3 linked regions of the Mus musculus genome follow. The protein of the gene in region 1 interacts with the protein of each later gene in a pairwise test. Links are inferred from orthologs where the notes say so. Each region holds a gene or a part of one and is shown in the gene's direction. Other genes may lie near its edges. The genes, in order: Prpf40a, Ccnl1 and Hnrnpul1.

Region 1 (5,179 bases):
TGTAAACTTTATATACCCCAGTACAGGGGAATGCCAGGGCCAAGTAGTGGGAGTGGGTGGGTAGGGGGGCAGGGCGAGAGGGCGGGGGGGGGGGGAGTATAGGGGGCTTTCAGGATAGCATTTAAAATGTAAATGAAGAAAATATCTAATAAAAATTTTTAAAAAAGAATATTAAAAAAAAAAAAGAAAGAAAGAAAGCCAGCCAGTTTGGTCTACAAAGTGAGTTCCAGGACAGCCAGGTCTATACAGAGAAACCCTGTCTCAAAAAAGAAAAAAAGAAAGAAAGAGAGAGAGAGAGAGAAAAGTAGAAACTTGGGATGGGGTGGGGGTGGGGATCCTTGTCCTAGGTTCAGAGAACAGTGCAAACCCAGCATGTCTCTTAACATCAGCCTTAGGACGTACAGCAGTACTTTCTTACACGTACTTTTTTGATCCTTTTAAAAGTAAGGGGCTCTGCTGTTTCAACTCAAAGTGTTCAATGCCTTTACGGCATTAAAGACTGTAGATTTAGCCAAAGATCTTTTCTAAATGGGTCTCATGACGGAGCAAGGACGTCCATCTAGGGAGAGAAGACAAAAGGGACGATAGCAGTCTCGAGGGAACGCTTTGGGAGGAGAGTGTGAATGGGGGCGTGTGATGTACTGGCTGCACTTTACGCTGGACAGCCTTTCAAGGCCTGGGCTTCAATACCTTTAACGATCATGTAGGCGATGGCGAGAAGGAAAGCAAGGAGGACGGCGAACAGCAGCGAACAGAGAATGGAAAGGGCTTGGATGGGCCACCGCCGAGCCTGGGTTCGCTTGGCCGCAGTGGCCGGGAAGATGCCGTTGCGCTTATCCGGCAGGACCGGAGACCCGTCCCCGACCCGGGGGAGTAGCGGGGCCCTCTTGGTCTCCGACGACGCCCTGGCTGAGAACTCTGCCCGCAAGTCGCGGGCCACTTGGTCGCATCCCTCGTCTTCGTCGCCTTCGCCCTCACCCCAGCTGTCCCCCTGAGTGTAGTCGGAATACCCGGGCCGAGTCGCAGGGCCTGGGGTAACCTGACGGCGCCTCCGCGCGCCCGCAAACCTCCAACTCTCCACGAACGACATGGCGGGAAAGACTGAGAGTCCCGCGAAGGTCGGCTGTCCACCACCGCCACGCCCCGCCCCGGCTACAGCCAATCAGAGACGGCCGTCGGCGGACCCAACCACCGCGCGCAGAACCGTAGGGGAGTGCAAGAGCGGGTTACCCGGGGACTCCGCTTCCGGAGGCGCCGTGGGAGCGCGCGCCCATGGCCCGCCGCGACAACACTCTCATTTATTCCACCCTTTCGGGTCCTGTGGGCACGCACCTCTCGAGCCCCATGACCGCAGTTCCGCGCCTTCCTAACCGCCAGTCGCTTCCTCCCTCGGGCGAGAGATCTCTGTCTTTACCGCTCCCCGCCAGATACAGTTCGCGCCTCCGCCCTTCACTATGCCGGGCGCGCGCGCAGCTCTCGAGTTTCTCCCCCCCACCCCCAAAGGCACGACCCCCTCCCCAGGGCAACCGCGCGCGCGCGCACTAGGCCGCTAACGCCGGGTGCCGCTTCCCCCGCCCCACCCCCACCCCACCCCTGGTGGCCTCAGGTTTGTGGGGCGAACGTAACTAGGGCGAGGGGCTGGACGCCACTGCCCCACCCCCCGACGGGGTGCGGTGGCCCGAACCCGGGAATCTGGGTCCCCGCCGTGTCCCCTTTCCTGGGGGAAGTTGGTAGAGTTTCCCCGGCAGAGCACTCGACGCAGAAACTTCCTCCGTCCCCCCTCCCCCCCCCTCCATGCAGGCGACGCCGAGCGAGGCAGGGGGCGAATCGCCGCAGAGCTGCCTGTCGGTCTCGCGCTCTGATTGGACAGTAGGGAAGCCTGTCAGTTTATTGGCCCCGCTGATCCCGCCCCGCAGCTCAGGGCAGCCTTTACCCTTTGGCCCCGGCGGGCGCCAGCCACTCAGATCGCTTCTTGTTGGTATGTGCAGCGGCAGTGGCCGCCGACGGAGCAGTCTGAGCCCGACGATGAGGCCGGGGACTGGAGCCGAGCGTGGAGGCCTCATGGTGAGTGAAATGGAGAGCCAACCTCCCTCGCGGGGTCCCGGGGACGGGGAGCGGAGATTGTCCGGCTCAAACCTGTGCTCCAGTTCTTGGGTCTCTGCTGACGGCTTCCTGAGGAGACGGCCCTCGGTAAGGGATCGGCGGGGTAGGGGAAAGCGGCACAATGAAAAACCGAGTCAGAGAAACAGGAAGCTCTCTCCAAACGGAGAAGAGCATATCAGGAAGAGAGCTGCAGATGGTGGGCTACGTCCCAAGGGGGAGAGATGGAGGGCGGGAACACACAAAGAAATAGGTGGGACCTTGGACTTGCCAGTGGTCTTGGCCTAGGTAGATAGATGCCTTAGGAAGAAGGAAGGTGCTGGGCCCCGGGCGGACTGTGCATCTGAGAGCCCCAGGCTTGACTTACAGTAGGGACACTTAAGTCTGTGGGACTTAAGGAGCGGCTGCTGCGGTCTTATTTCTCCGGGAGTGGTGGTGATTTGCAGGGCTTGGGGGATTCGGTTGGGAGAATTGGCTGCGGATACTTAGTTTCAAGCCAGGAACAATGGAAGTATTATATTTTAAGCTCCCTAAAACGGCATGAATTTGTTAGTGTCTGGGACAGTTTAACTCTATTAAAACATTTGTGAAGTACTCTTGGGTACCCGCACTCTGTTTTAGGTCTTGTCCATATGAATGTAATTTTAAGTAGTATAAGCTGGTTATGTGTATAAAGGTGACGGAAGTTGTGTTCATCGTAATAATTTTTTAAGTTGGAATTCAATACATAGTCACCAAGTCTGACCAGTCATTTAACAGTTTGTTAAGTCATTGGAGAGGGGTTGTAATCCGCTAATGGGTTTAACTTTTCCATTATTTTGTAAATTTTCAGGCCCCATCTAATAATCACTGTAGTGTAATTAAGATTAACTTCAGTATATGCTAATACTGTAATTTAATCACAGTGATTTAATATTGTGCCTTAATTGATGGGTTTTAGTTGTTGTTTTTGAAATGACATTTTAAAGAAGCATTTAACTGTCTCTCACTCTCCCTTTTTATTATTTTTCAGATGGGGCATCCTGGCATGCATTATGCACCAATGGGCATGCACCCTATGGGTCAGAGAGCAAACATGCCTCCTGTACCTCATGGAATGATGCCACAGATGATGCCCCCTATGGGAGGGCCTCCAATGGGACAAGTAAGAAGACGCTTTCCCTTTGGCTTGCTTAGTTTTGTTTGAGTGTGTCGAGATGTATTTAAGATGTAAGTCAGTGGTGTACTTGCAGCCCTTTAAAGGTTAGTTTATATCCACGTAATGTCTTCAAACAAGACAAAACATTACATTGCTCATGTCTGTAACCAAATTTTGAATGTAGTAAGACTGTATGAGAAAAAATTAACTGACTTCCTCAACAAAATTAAGCTTTAAAAAAAATAAGCCGGCTGTGGTGGCGCACGCCTTTGATCCCAGCACTTGGGAGGCAGTGGCAGTTAGATCTCTGAGTTCAAGGCCAGCCTGGATCTATAGACTGAGTTCCAAGACAGAGAAACCCTATCTGGAAAACCAAGCAAATAATTTAAAGTGAGAGTATACATCTAATCTATTTAACTTAGTGACTTTATTTCAGGCATTATAATTATTAATGGTCTAGGAGTAAATATATATCAGAAGATAATCGTGGTGAATGTGTAAAGCCTAGCATCAGAAAAATAGTAGTTACTTGGGGTTTTCATGTAGAATGAATTTTATTCTTGGAGTATCTTCCTCTTGTTTGGGGTGCGGAGGGATTTTCTGCTCTATTACTAATTCTTTCCTGGACAGTGCCAAATAGGTAGCTCATTTTCTACTTAATTTTTGAATGATAATTGCTTCTATACTCCTACTTGTGCGTTGCCCCTTGAATCTCTAGCACAAATCGTAAATGGACGTTTTTTCGTAGGAGTGATTGGATTAAAAGGTTTTAAGATGACTCAGGAACACGGGTAGAATTTCTAGAGAAGTGGTCAAGAAAGACAAGAGCTTGAGGTGCATCAACAGTTCTGTCCTATGCTAGGTTCTATATAATACACTGATTCTTAGGTGGGCTGGGTTATTCCAGTTGAATATCTTGATAAGTCATGAAATTTTTGATTAGCAGAATATTTTAGAAAGCCAGTTGTATATTTTCTTTTGCTAATGAGTACTATTGAGTTTGACGATGGTTTGAGCAATGAAGGCTAAAGTTACTGGTGAAATTACAGGGGGAAACAGGAACTTGTGTTTTTTTGTTTGTTTGCTTTTTTTATTTTAAAGAGTAGAATGGCTCAGTGTTAAGTGGTTTTCTTTTATATTTGGAATATAGCCCTTAATTTTGGATAAGAAAATTGTATTCAAAGGCACCAAACTGAAAAGATTCTGCCTGCAGGAGTTCCTTATAGAAAAGATTCTTTTGCTCTGTTACTCTCGAATAATAATACTTTAAAACTCCCTAGGATATGCAGAGACAACTCTTGATTCTTTTTCTGTATCTTTCCATCTCTAAGCAGCACAAAACCCTTCTTGTTTTCTTGGTAGAGCTGCTCTAACTAGATAATGAGCTTTAAAAAATATTTATTCTCTAATGCTCTGGTTCTTATTTAAAATTAGTTTCTTTCCACAGAAAGATAAAATAAAACAATTTGCTACTGCCAGACGCTTCTCTCTTTTCTGGGGCCTTCTGTGTCCATTGGGCCAGGCAAGGTAAGTTTGCAAGGGGTTGGCCTGCTTACCCTTGCTGTCCCGGTGCTGTTGCACTAGCAGTCCTGAGATGCCAGCTACTCATTTTTAGTACAGTGCAGATTTTACTTTATTTTTTTAAGTAATTGGCATACACTGGTCACAGTTTGTTTTGTGGCCCCTTCTCTTTAGCTGTGCCAGTGACCATATTCCTAATTAGTTTACTTTATACTTACACACTTCAGATATTTTGACTTTTGCTTCATGGTTTTCTACTATTATTAATTTTTTTTTTAGTCTAATATGTTCTGTGCACCTGACTGTTTAAATGTTTAGCATTCTTCCTCTGTGAGGATAATGAATACTTTGGGAGACCAGATCTGAAAGTCTCAAGAAAATTGCTGTTATTTTCTCAAAATTAGGTCATTATCTAGTGCC
Region 2 (5,284 bases), on another chromosome or scaffold:
ATGCATAGAATTGCACATTGGTGGTGCAGCTATCCAAATCATTTCTGCTCCTTACCCATATTCCTGTAAGTAACCCTAATAAAACTCATTGGTTCACCAAGTTTGCACTCTGATGGTATCCATACTTTGGTCTGTGGTAGGTTCCCTATCTGAGGTGAGTAGTGTCTCACTAGGAAAAGTTTTGTCCCGACATACCTGTCCCCTGGACTTGTGTCTCCTATGCTGTCACAGAAAGTTTGGATATGAAATGCCTGCCACATACAGACCCTGTGAAGAGCTTGTCCTTAGTTAGTAGCACTGAGAGGTGATTTAATCACAAAGGCAAATACCTCATAAATGGGTTAATCCGACGATGAGGTCACAGCTGGACAAGCAATTAGGAGTTGGCAACCTACTTGAGGAGGGAGATCCCTGGATATATTCCCCTTTCTCTTTGTTGGTGGCAAGGGATTTGTTTTTACCAAGGTCTCACACCATAAAGTTCTGCCTACACAGTCCTACAGGTATAGGGCCACATGGCTGTAGCCTGAAACCTCAGAGACCATAAACCAAAATTAAACCTCATTGTGGACTTTCTAGGTAATCTGTCAGTGACAAAAAGCTATCACAATCATAAAATTTTTGTTTTTGAGGCTTTAGTTGAGTACTGGGATTAAAGGCTTGTGCCACCACTTCCTGCTCTATATAGCTTTTGTTTGGAAGAGGTTTTGTTTCATTTTGAAGATATTATATAGCTCTTACTGGCTTGGAATCAGTCTGACCCTCTAATCAGAGATCCACCTGTCTTTGTCTCCAGAGTGCCCGTCCCAACACACTTTGTAAAAATGAGCTGTGAAAATACCTTGCTTTGGTGACTAAGATGTATCCAAATTTTCAGTGCGCTCTATAGGTCCAAGGTTAAGACACTTTTCAAGAAAGTAAGCTTTAACAAAATAACAATTCCAACCCTTTGTACTGAGTCAGGAGATTTTTCTTTCTCCCTAAAGGCCATCTCAGAGGATTAAGCTGGAATAAAAAGATCATGGGAGGCCAGAGGCAGAAGGATCAATTGTTTCACGGTCGACCTCAGCTTTTGGGACTTTTAGTATGGATGGAAAAAGACCACAGCTCTCAGCCAGGCGGTGGTGGCGCACGCCTTTAATCCCAGCACTCGGGAGACAAAGACAGGCGGATTTCTGAGTTCAGGGCCAGCCTGGTCTACAAAGTGAGTTTCAGGACAGCCAGAACTATACAGAGAAACTGTCTCGAAAAAAACAAAAAAACCACAGCTCTCATCTTAAAGGGAATAAATGATGGGTTATCCTGGAGCCATTTTGATTGACCATGGTCCCGGAACACAGATTTAGGTTATTCCAAACTCCATGTAAGATGAGAGCTGTGTTTTTCTCTTCATTGACACAGGGATAGTTACTTTCTCTCCACTCTGACAAAAACCATCTCTTTAAGACGAGACTCCCCAGCGCAATGAAATCGCCCGTGTACTGTCCTCGCCATAAACCTATTTTTGGAACTAGGGATTTTCCAGATTACTGTAAACCCGGCGAAGTGAGGTCAGGGCTAGGCATGCCTTTCTAGGCTACACCCCGACACCCACGCGCGCTCGGAGCTTTCCGGAAACCCCAGGCGCTCAAACTGGGAAGCTGCCCGGTTCAGAGTCACTTTGTTACACTCCGGTGTCGCCGACCGCCGGACTGTCACCAACGCGCAGACCGTGCAGGGGTATCGGGGCCGACTCACCAGGCCAGAGTCCGGGTTATCCGGTGACTAAAGCCATTACCACCCCTGAGCCGCCAGCACCCTGCCCCGCCCTGCCCATCCGGACCCCTCCGCCCGGTGTCACCGACCGAAGCGCGGAGGAACTCGTTGGCGCGCGCGGGGAGTGGAGTGGGGTGGGGTAGGGCGTGTCGGCGTGGTGACGTCAGGGCGGAAGCGCACGCTGCGTGCGGCGGCCTGGAAGCCGGCGGTCACGGGAAGATCCGTCGCGCCGAGGACGCTGGTTAGTCTCGCTTTGGGTTCCGGCTGCGTCGGGCGTGCGTGGAGCTCGCTGGAACTATGGCGTCCGGGCCTCACCCGACCTCGACCGCTGCCGCCGCCGCCGCCGCTGCCGCCTCCGCCTCGTCCGCCGCCCCGAGCGCGGGCGGCTCCAGCTCCGGCACGACCACCACGACGACGACCACGACCGGAGGGATCCTGATCGGCGACCGCCTGTATTCGGAGGTGTCGCTCACCATCGACCACTCGCTGATCCCGGAGGAGCGGCTCTCGCCTACCCCGTCCATGCAGGACGGCCTGGACCTGCCCAGCGAGACGGATCTGCGCATCTTGGGCTGCGAGCTCATCCAGGCCGCCGGCATCCTCCTCCGGCTGCCGCAGGTGAGAACCCCGGCTGGTTGCGGGCCTCTCCGCCGCGGCCAGGTTTCTCCGGAGCCTGCGCCGGGCGGCGGCGGCGGCGGGAGCTCGGGCGGGCGAGGGTGGGGATGCGGGGGCGGGCGGCGCCGCGCGGCCCGGGCGGGGGAAGGGAAGCGAGCGGCCGCACAAAATGGCGGCGGCGCCTGGTGCGGGCCCGCCTGACCCCGGCGCTTCCGTTCTCCTCTCTCGTCTGCAGGTGGCGATGGCTACAGGGCAGGTGCTGTTCCATCGGTTCTTCTACTCCAAGTCGTTCGTCAAACACAGTTTCGAGGTAAGCGCGGCGGAGGCGGACAAGAAGGGATTTCTTCATCCGGAAGCGGGGAGGAAGGGGGTAGGAACCAGCTTTTCCAGAAAGGGAGTGGTTAGCTTAGGCCTTTGTACCTCGTTCCCACCCAGAAGGAAATGGGGCCCGTAGAGCAATGTTTCAAGAACTAGAAAATGGATCCCCAGTTCACGTGCTCTGTTAACCAAGAACTACGTTTTCAAGCCATTGCACAATTCTAGCAAGAGGTAGCTTGATTCTGACCCAAAATTAAGAGCAGTTGAGCAATAAAACGTAAGAGCTGGTCTAAAAATGTCAGCTTCGATTTTATTTCGCTAAAAAGCCCGTTGTATCCTAAAGAGGGTTCTTTGCCGGTCCTTGGTGACCCACATCCTTGGGCAGGCAGATGTACATACAGATGGAGTTCCTGGAAGCCAGGACTACACAGAGAAGCCCTATCTAAAAACAAAACAAAATAAGGGTTGTTAGACTTTGTTAAACTGTTTCTAGTTTAACTTCACTTGGATTTTTACCTGGGTTCTTTCAGATTGTTGCTATGGCCTGTATTAATCTTGCGTCAAAAATCGAAGAAGCGCCAAGAAGAATAAGAGATGTGATTAATGTATTCCACCACCTCCGCCAGTTAAGAGGAAAAAGGTAAGATTGGCCTGTTGAACATAGTATCTCTTGCTGTACTGTGCACCAATCATCCAGTCAAAACATCTTCTCCCCTCCCTCAAGTCAGTGTGGATGCAAAAGAAAGCGGACATTAGGTGCTGAAATTCACGTAGGAACATTGAAACTTTTAAAATCCCCTCCATTAACCAGCTATCTGAAGTTTGTAGAGACAGTTGCATTGTGGACAATTCTAGAGTGCTGTGAAGCCAGTCCCTTGGCTTAAGATTAAACAAGAAAGGGAGTACGGTTGGCTCAAGTGGGAGTGTATTCTGTAAGTTGTGTTTCCCCTCCCCTCTCTGGAAAACTGAAGGCTGGACATGTAAGCCCTGTAGTTCAAGTTAATGTTGTGGCAAAGTTCCGTGTAGGTCGTTTTTCTGCTTGGAGTCCCAGTTTCTTCATCAATTGAGGTTGGCTTTTGTTAGAGTACTTCTCAACATTGAACTACGATATATCGCATAATGCCGCATCTGAAAGGACTGGAGGATGATAAAGTTTGAAGTCAAAGGGATTGAACAGGTATTCTGTTTTGGTCAGATGTAGTCTCAGTGAGTTCCTTAGAAAAATAACTCATTGAGTTGCTTCAGATAGGGCTCTTTATTCGATCTTGTAAGAAAATAGAGTCTGAAACAGTATCTTTTAGGTGTAGTGATACCCTGGTAACTTTATGTGGGCCTATAAGGCAGTACCAAAGCTTGTTGCAGTACTCCAGGCTCTACAGGTGATTCTAGGACAGGCTGATGGATATTTGTGGTGTAGATTAGTTTCTAAGGAACTGTGAGCTTGGAAGGAATTTAGCTATGACAAGATAACCTGTTTTGGGAGTTGGGTGTTGCTTAGTCCTAATGCGTATTGAACATAGGTAGTCTTTATTGTGGAAGCTATAAGTTGGTGGTAGTGGAAGTTTGAAATGAGTAACACAGTCAATTTTTATAGCATTTTTTTCTCTATACTATTCAGCCCCATCTTTTCTAACTATGTGCCCAGATACAATTTCTTCTGTTTGAAAACATTTTTAGTTCTTTGTGAAGAAAGTTGAGAAATGGGGGAGTTTCAAATTAGTGTTTAGTATGTTCTGAGCTTATACTTGTATTTTAGATTACATGGCTGATTTTTTTTTTCAGGGTGTTTTTACAAAACACTGAAATACAGAATTCTTATTTTTAGTGAATAAAGGAACATTTTCTAGTAGTATATGAGTTGTTGAGCCAACTATAATCACATGATCGTTTGGTGTTTTTCTGTGGGACTTCTTCCTTCCTAGGTGTCAGAATAGGATCATCTTTTTATAAAACTTCAAAATTTAAAATAATTCAATCTGACTGGCTTGTATTGGATATAAACTTCATTTTTGATCATCATTAAAGAGAAATTGATTTTGTTTCAATGTTTCAAATTTGATTATAGCATGAAATTCTTAAAGAAGTTAATTGCATGGAAGCCCCCCTTTTAAAAGCAGGATATAAGTGTTTCTATGCATATTACAAGTTTACTCAGACATGTAACTTGTATATGTTATTAACTTCAACTCTTTTTTCCCTTGCAACCGACTATACAGCGACCAGCTACATTTACCAAAGCCTGGGTGATGTGGAGTGGTACATAGAGATGAAGCTGTCGTCATGGCAACAGTGAGTGAAGTATCGAAATCCCCAAGGAGAAGCCAGTGTTCTGAGAATAGGTCACTGGAATCGGGGACTAACAGGTTGGCCACTGGTGAACCATTTAGAGAAAAACAAACAAACAAACAAAAAACTCCTGTTTCTTGTTAAAAGCTTTTGTCTTTGCTGTCCAAGTTATTAAAACTATAGCTTTAAAAGGTGGTGGGGTTTTTATTTATTTTTCTTTTTTTCTTTCCCTTTTTCCCCCCCATAGGGCATGGTTAGAAAGTATTCATAAATGTTTTACTCTGATACTCTTATTGGTTTGTCTTGAATT
Region 3 (4,083 bases), on another chromosome or scaffold:
TTTTATTTCACAGCTGTCTGAGTACCCATTACATGCCAGGGAGCAGCTGGGAACACTTGCCAGGAGCAGATGAGTGCTCCTAGATGCCACCCAGCCAGCACATTTCCTAGAATGAGAGTTTGGCAAGACTTAAGTTCAGCGCTAGCTCCAACAGAACCTGACTTTGACCTGGGACAGTCAGCTTGACCCTTCTGGTCCTTGTTTCCACATAAAGGACAGAAACATTACTAGGAATCACTTGTGAAGTTTCTGTGAGGTGATGGGGACTGTAGCTTAATGAAGCCTCTGGAACTGGGCAGACCTGGGTTAGTCATTCTAATAGTGTGACTTGGCCCAACAACCTCGCTTAGATTTTCTTTTTAGAGTTCATTATTTTTTAAATTTACTTTATGTGTGTGTGTTTATATGTGTTTGTATGTGCCCCACCTGTGTGCAGTACCTGCAGAGGTCAAAAGAGGATATTGGCTTCCTTGAAACTAGAGTTATAGACAGTTGAGTTACTGTGTAGGTGCTAGGAACTGAACCTGGAGCCTCTGTAAGAGCAACCAGTACTCTTTTAAATATGTATGTATGTATGTATGTGTATGTACTGTAGCTGTCTTCAGACACACCAGAAGAGGGAGTCAGATCCCATTACAGATGGTTGTAAGCCACCATGTGGTTGCTGGCATGTGAACTCAGGACCTCTAGAAGAACAGTCAGTGTTCTTAACCGCTGAGCCATCTCTCCAGCCCCAGCCTCAGCTTCCATCTCTAAAATAAAGCTAGTGAATATGCCAGGCTTGCTGATGAGATGGAATGGGTTACTGATCCACTCTGCATGAAAGGCTCCTAGCATCTTGTCACCACTGCTTTTCTCAGCAGCTCTCACAGTGGCCATTTGCCACCATTTCCTGAGTACCCAGCACTTTGTGCATGCAAGCTTATTGAACTACCAAGGCACACCAAGAGCGAGACCAGGCTGACATTGTAGACTGTGAAGCAGGTCTTTGAACTGCCTTGTGTGCTGCTGCTCTCGGGTTTCAGCCTAGGGTCAGCTGCTTCCCAGACCCATCCTTGCACTTTAGAACAGACTTGCCTCCATCCAGGAACCTGTGTGCATACCAATGTGTGCTGTCTGTCTCATGGAGTGTTTGCCTTTTTCTACTCAGCCGAGTTACAGCCAGCCACCCTACAACCAAGGAGGCTACACCCAGGGCTACACAGCCCCACCACCTCCACCTCCGCCACCACCTGCCTACAACTATGGGAGCTATGGCCCCTACAATCCTGCCCCCTATACACCCCCACCACCCCCAACTGCCCAGACCTACCCTCAGCCCAGCTATAACCAGTATCAGCAGGTGAGTACAAGATGGGCCTTCCGGTAAGGCTTCTGGGAGCATTCTTGGGTGTGCATTCAGATTTGGGTTCCTGCCTGTTTCTGAAATATGGGCAGCTGCTTGTCTCAGGCTTTTGATAAACTGGTCTTTAATGGCCGATGTGTAGCCCTGGACCCCAGTGCAGCAAACCTTCCTAGCTAAGCTAGGCCTCCAACGTAGCCAAGGGGTGCCAAGTTCCATTCCAAGTTGGTGCTGGGGCTGCCACACCTGAAAAGGACAGCCAGCCAGCAAGCCACAAGACCAAGACTGCTTTCCCATTTATGTGACATCAAGTCACCCCTTACCTTTCCAAAGCATTTTGGTTTCTGTCAAAGAACCCATGTGATGAGGGTGGACCACAAAAGGAGAGAAGGGACAGTCTGGAGTGCAAGAGATAACTTGATATTCTTGTTCTCTCCCCCAGTATGCCCAGCAGTGGAGCCAGTACTATCAGAACCAGAGCCAGTGGCCGCCATACTACGGGAACTACGACTATGGAGGCTACTCGGGCAGCACACAGGGGGGCACAAGCACACAGTAGCCGGTGCTGGAGCCTTCAGAGGCTCGTGCCGGCTGCTTCTAATAGCACCTGCCTTGGCCCCTTTTTCCCCTCTGAGTCCTGTGGTGCTGGGGACAGAGTTATCCCAGGGCTGCCTCTCTCTAGCCCACTTTTTCCAGAGGAGCTTCTCTCTTCATACAGGCCAGGCATTTTCCTCTCTGGATTCCAACAGGCAACAGTGAGCTTTTCTTTTATCTTTGTCCCTCCACTTCCTCCTCCCCTGCCTTCTTAGCTAAAGAAGCCTCCCTTGTGAGGCCACAGTGACTGGGGAGGAGCCTTGCCTGTCTGCCCCTCCCTACTCTGCTTTTTAGCCCCTTGGCTTCCCAGACTCTCATGCAGTTGGTTGTAAATTCTTCCAGGAGCTGTTTTTCTGTCTACTTTTCAGGATTTAAAAAAAATTTTTTTCAAAAACTTTAAAAAAAAAAAAAGTTTAAGAAGCAAATTGCAGAGGGAGGAAGCATTGACTTTTTTTGGTAATTATGCTTTTTTTTTTTTTTTTTTAATTTTTAGAATTTGTCTGTTTTTACTGTGGGTCAGCCGTTGATACTTCATCAAATAACCATTTCTTTGCTGAGTTCAGGTAACCGAGGAAGAGCCACACCCTCGAAACAACAAAATCACCTTTAACCTAACTTTTTATATGATGTCTCAGTTCCCCGTAACTTTGCACACAAGCGTCTGTTCAGTTGGATTGTAACTGCTTTTTGTACTTGGAGAGAGTGTGACTATTGAACTTGAAACCTTTTACTCCAGGAGTCGTGGTAGTTTCTGGTGGGCATAAGCGGGTGAGAGGGTGAAGGGAAGGTGGGGGTGGGGCCAGCTTCCCTTTAGACCCTAAAGTTCCTCCACCACCACCACCACCACCACCTCCACCTCCACCACCACCTCCACCTCCATTGCTCTTCCAGGTGCCAGACCTGCAATGTTTTACAGTGGTCCTTTTGATTACTCTCACTTCCCGAATGTTCTAACCGGACCTTAGCAAACCGCACTTATTACAAGATGTTTTACCCTGTTTTGTTTTGTTTTCTTTCAATAAATGACATGGCACCTCTTATCAGGAAGGAAGCAGGGTTGAAACCCTGAAGTGTTACTGCAGTTGGCCTTTAATTGGGATGGGAACCTTTGAAGGGGAAATGCCTCGATCATTTATTTAAACAAAGTGGGTCTGTACTTCACATAACCCAGATGCTCCTTGTGCAGGGACAGACAGGTGAGAGCTGTAAGAATGAGACTATGCTGGCGCAGGCCCCTCTCCGGGTGTGTTGCCCAACCTACCCTAAGGTCCAGCCTGGATGCTGCTCTCAGGGTGGCCCTGTACCGCCACCTGTGCAGGTGTTGGCTGCCTACTCTTCCCTACCTATCATCCTGAACAGTTCTAGGGATGTGAGCACTGCAGAAATGACCCTAGCCCCTCTTCTTGGAGTTCCTCCTCTAGGGAATACAAATTTGTAACCAGTTACAGCGCCAAGCATTTAGAGAGACCCTGAAGTAATAGGCAGGGCTTTCTGGAAAAGAGGAAAATGCAGGGTGAGCTGTGGGGTGGGACTCTAGCCCACTGTCCTTTCTAGCTTCATTTCTCCTGTGCAAGCTGTGTTTTTCACATCTGATGCAGTGTGTGGGCAGCTCGCCCAGCTCCCTTGTAGAAACTAGGGAGCCTTTGAAGAGCCACAACCTATCAAAAGAAGCTGGGGGTTGTGACAAGAGCCTGTATCCAAAGGTATGCATACCACTTACAGTGCCCCAGGACCTAGGTGCAACATGGCTAGACACCAGGAGGGAGTAGATGCAAGGCTGAGGGGGGACCATGTCGGTGCCTAAAAGATACTTGTCACTGGGCTGTGGTGGCACGCTCCTTTAATCCCAGCACTTGGGAGGCAGAGGCAGGTGGATTTCTGAGTTCCAGGACAGCCAGGGCTATACAGAGAATCCCTGTCTGGGGGAGGGGGGAAGGGGAGGAGAGACACTTGTCAAGTTGCTCTAGGAGAAGGTAAGGAGGGGTCCTTGTCCCTAGCCTGGGAAATGCTGCTCTTGGCATATGTGTGTTGGGCAGCATCGCCCTCTGCTGGCCATTCCTGGTGATGCAGCTGGGTTTTTACCAGGCCATTCCCCAAATGTCGGGAATGCTTACCAAGTTCTAACTCTTCCAAACCTGTTTCAAGAT

What was found.
Region 2: the proteins of Prpf40a (region 1) and Ccnl1 interact in binary tests that used the Homo sapiens proteins (3 or more experiments, as listed by UniProt). The link is inferred for Mus musculus from reciprocal best matches to the Homo sapiens genes PRPF40A and CCNL1.
Region 3: the proteins of Prpf40a (region 1) and Hnrnpul1 interact in a two-hybrid assay, tested with the Homo sapiens proteins (2 studies listed by BioGRID and IntAct). The link is inferred for Mus musculus from reciprocal best matches to the Homo sapiens genes PRPF40A and HNRNPUL1.

Annotation. Positions count from the first base shown.
Region 1 is NC_000068.7:53,188,034-53,193,212, reverse strand, and holds the start of Prpf40a (pre-mRNA-processing factor 40 homolog A), read left to right. Parts: upstream 1-1,980; coding exon 1,981-2,190; intron 2,191-3,112; coding exon 3,113-3,244; intron 3,245-4,685; exon of another isoform or gene 4,686-4,765; intron 4,766-5,179. Other genes in the region: Arl6ip6 (ADP-ribosylation factor-like protein 6-interacting protein 6), read right to left, coding at 691-1,090.
Region 2 is NC_000069.6:65,954,897-65,960,180, reverse strand, and holds the start of Ccnl1 (cyclin-L1), read left to right. Parts: upstream 1-1,931; 5' UTR 1,932-2,052; coding exon 2,053-2,373; intron 2,374-2,605; coding exon 2,606-2,680; intron 2,681-3,218; coding exon 3,219-3,328; intron 3,329-4,904; exon of another isoform or gene 4,905-4,954; coding exon of another isoform or gene 4,955-5,051; exon of another isoform or gene 5,052-5,284. UniProt on the Homo sapiens protein: Involved in pre-mRNA splicing. Functions in association with cyclin-dependent kinases (CDKs). Inhibited by the CDK-specific inhibitor CDKN1A/p21. May play a role in the regulation of RNA polymerase II (pol II).
Region 3 is NC_000073.6:25,720,065-25,724,147, reverse strand, and holds the end of Hnrnpul1 (heterogeneous nuclear ribonucleoprotein U-like protein 1), read left to right. Parts: intron 1-1,150; coding exon 1,151-1,342; intron 1,343-1,784; coding exon 1,785-1,901; 3' UTR 1,902-2,987; downstream 2,988-4,083.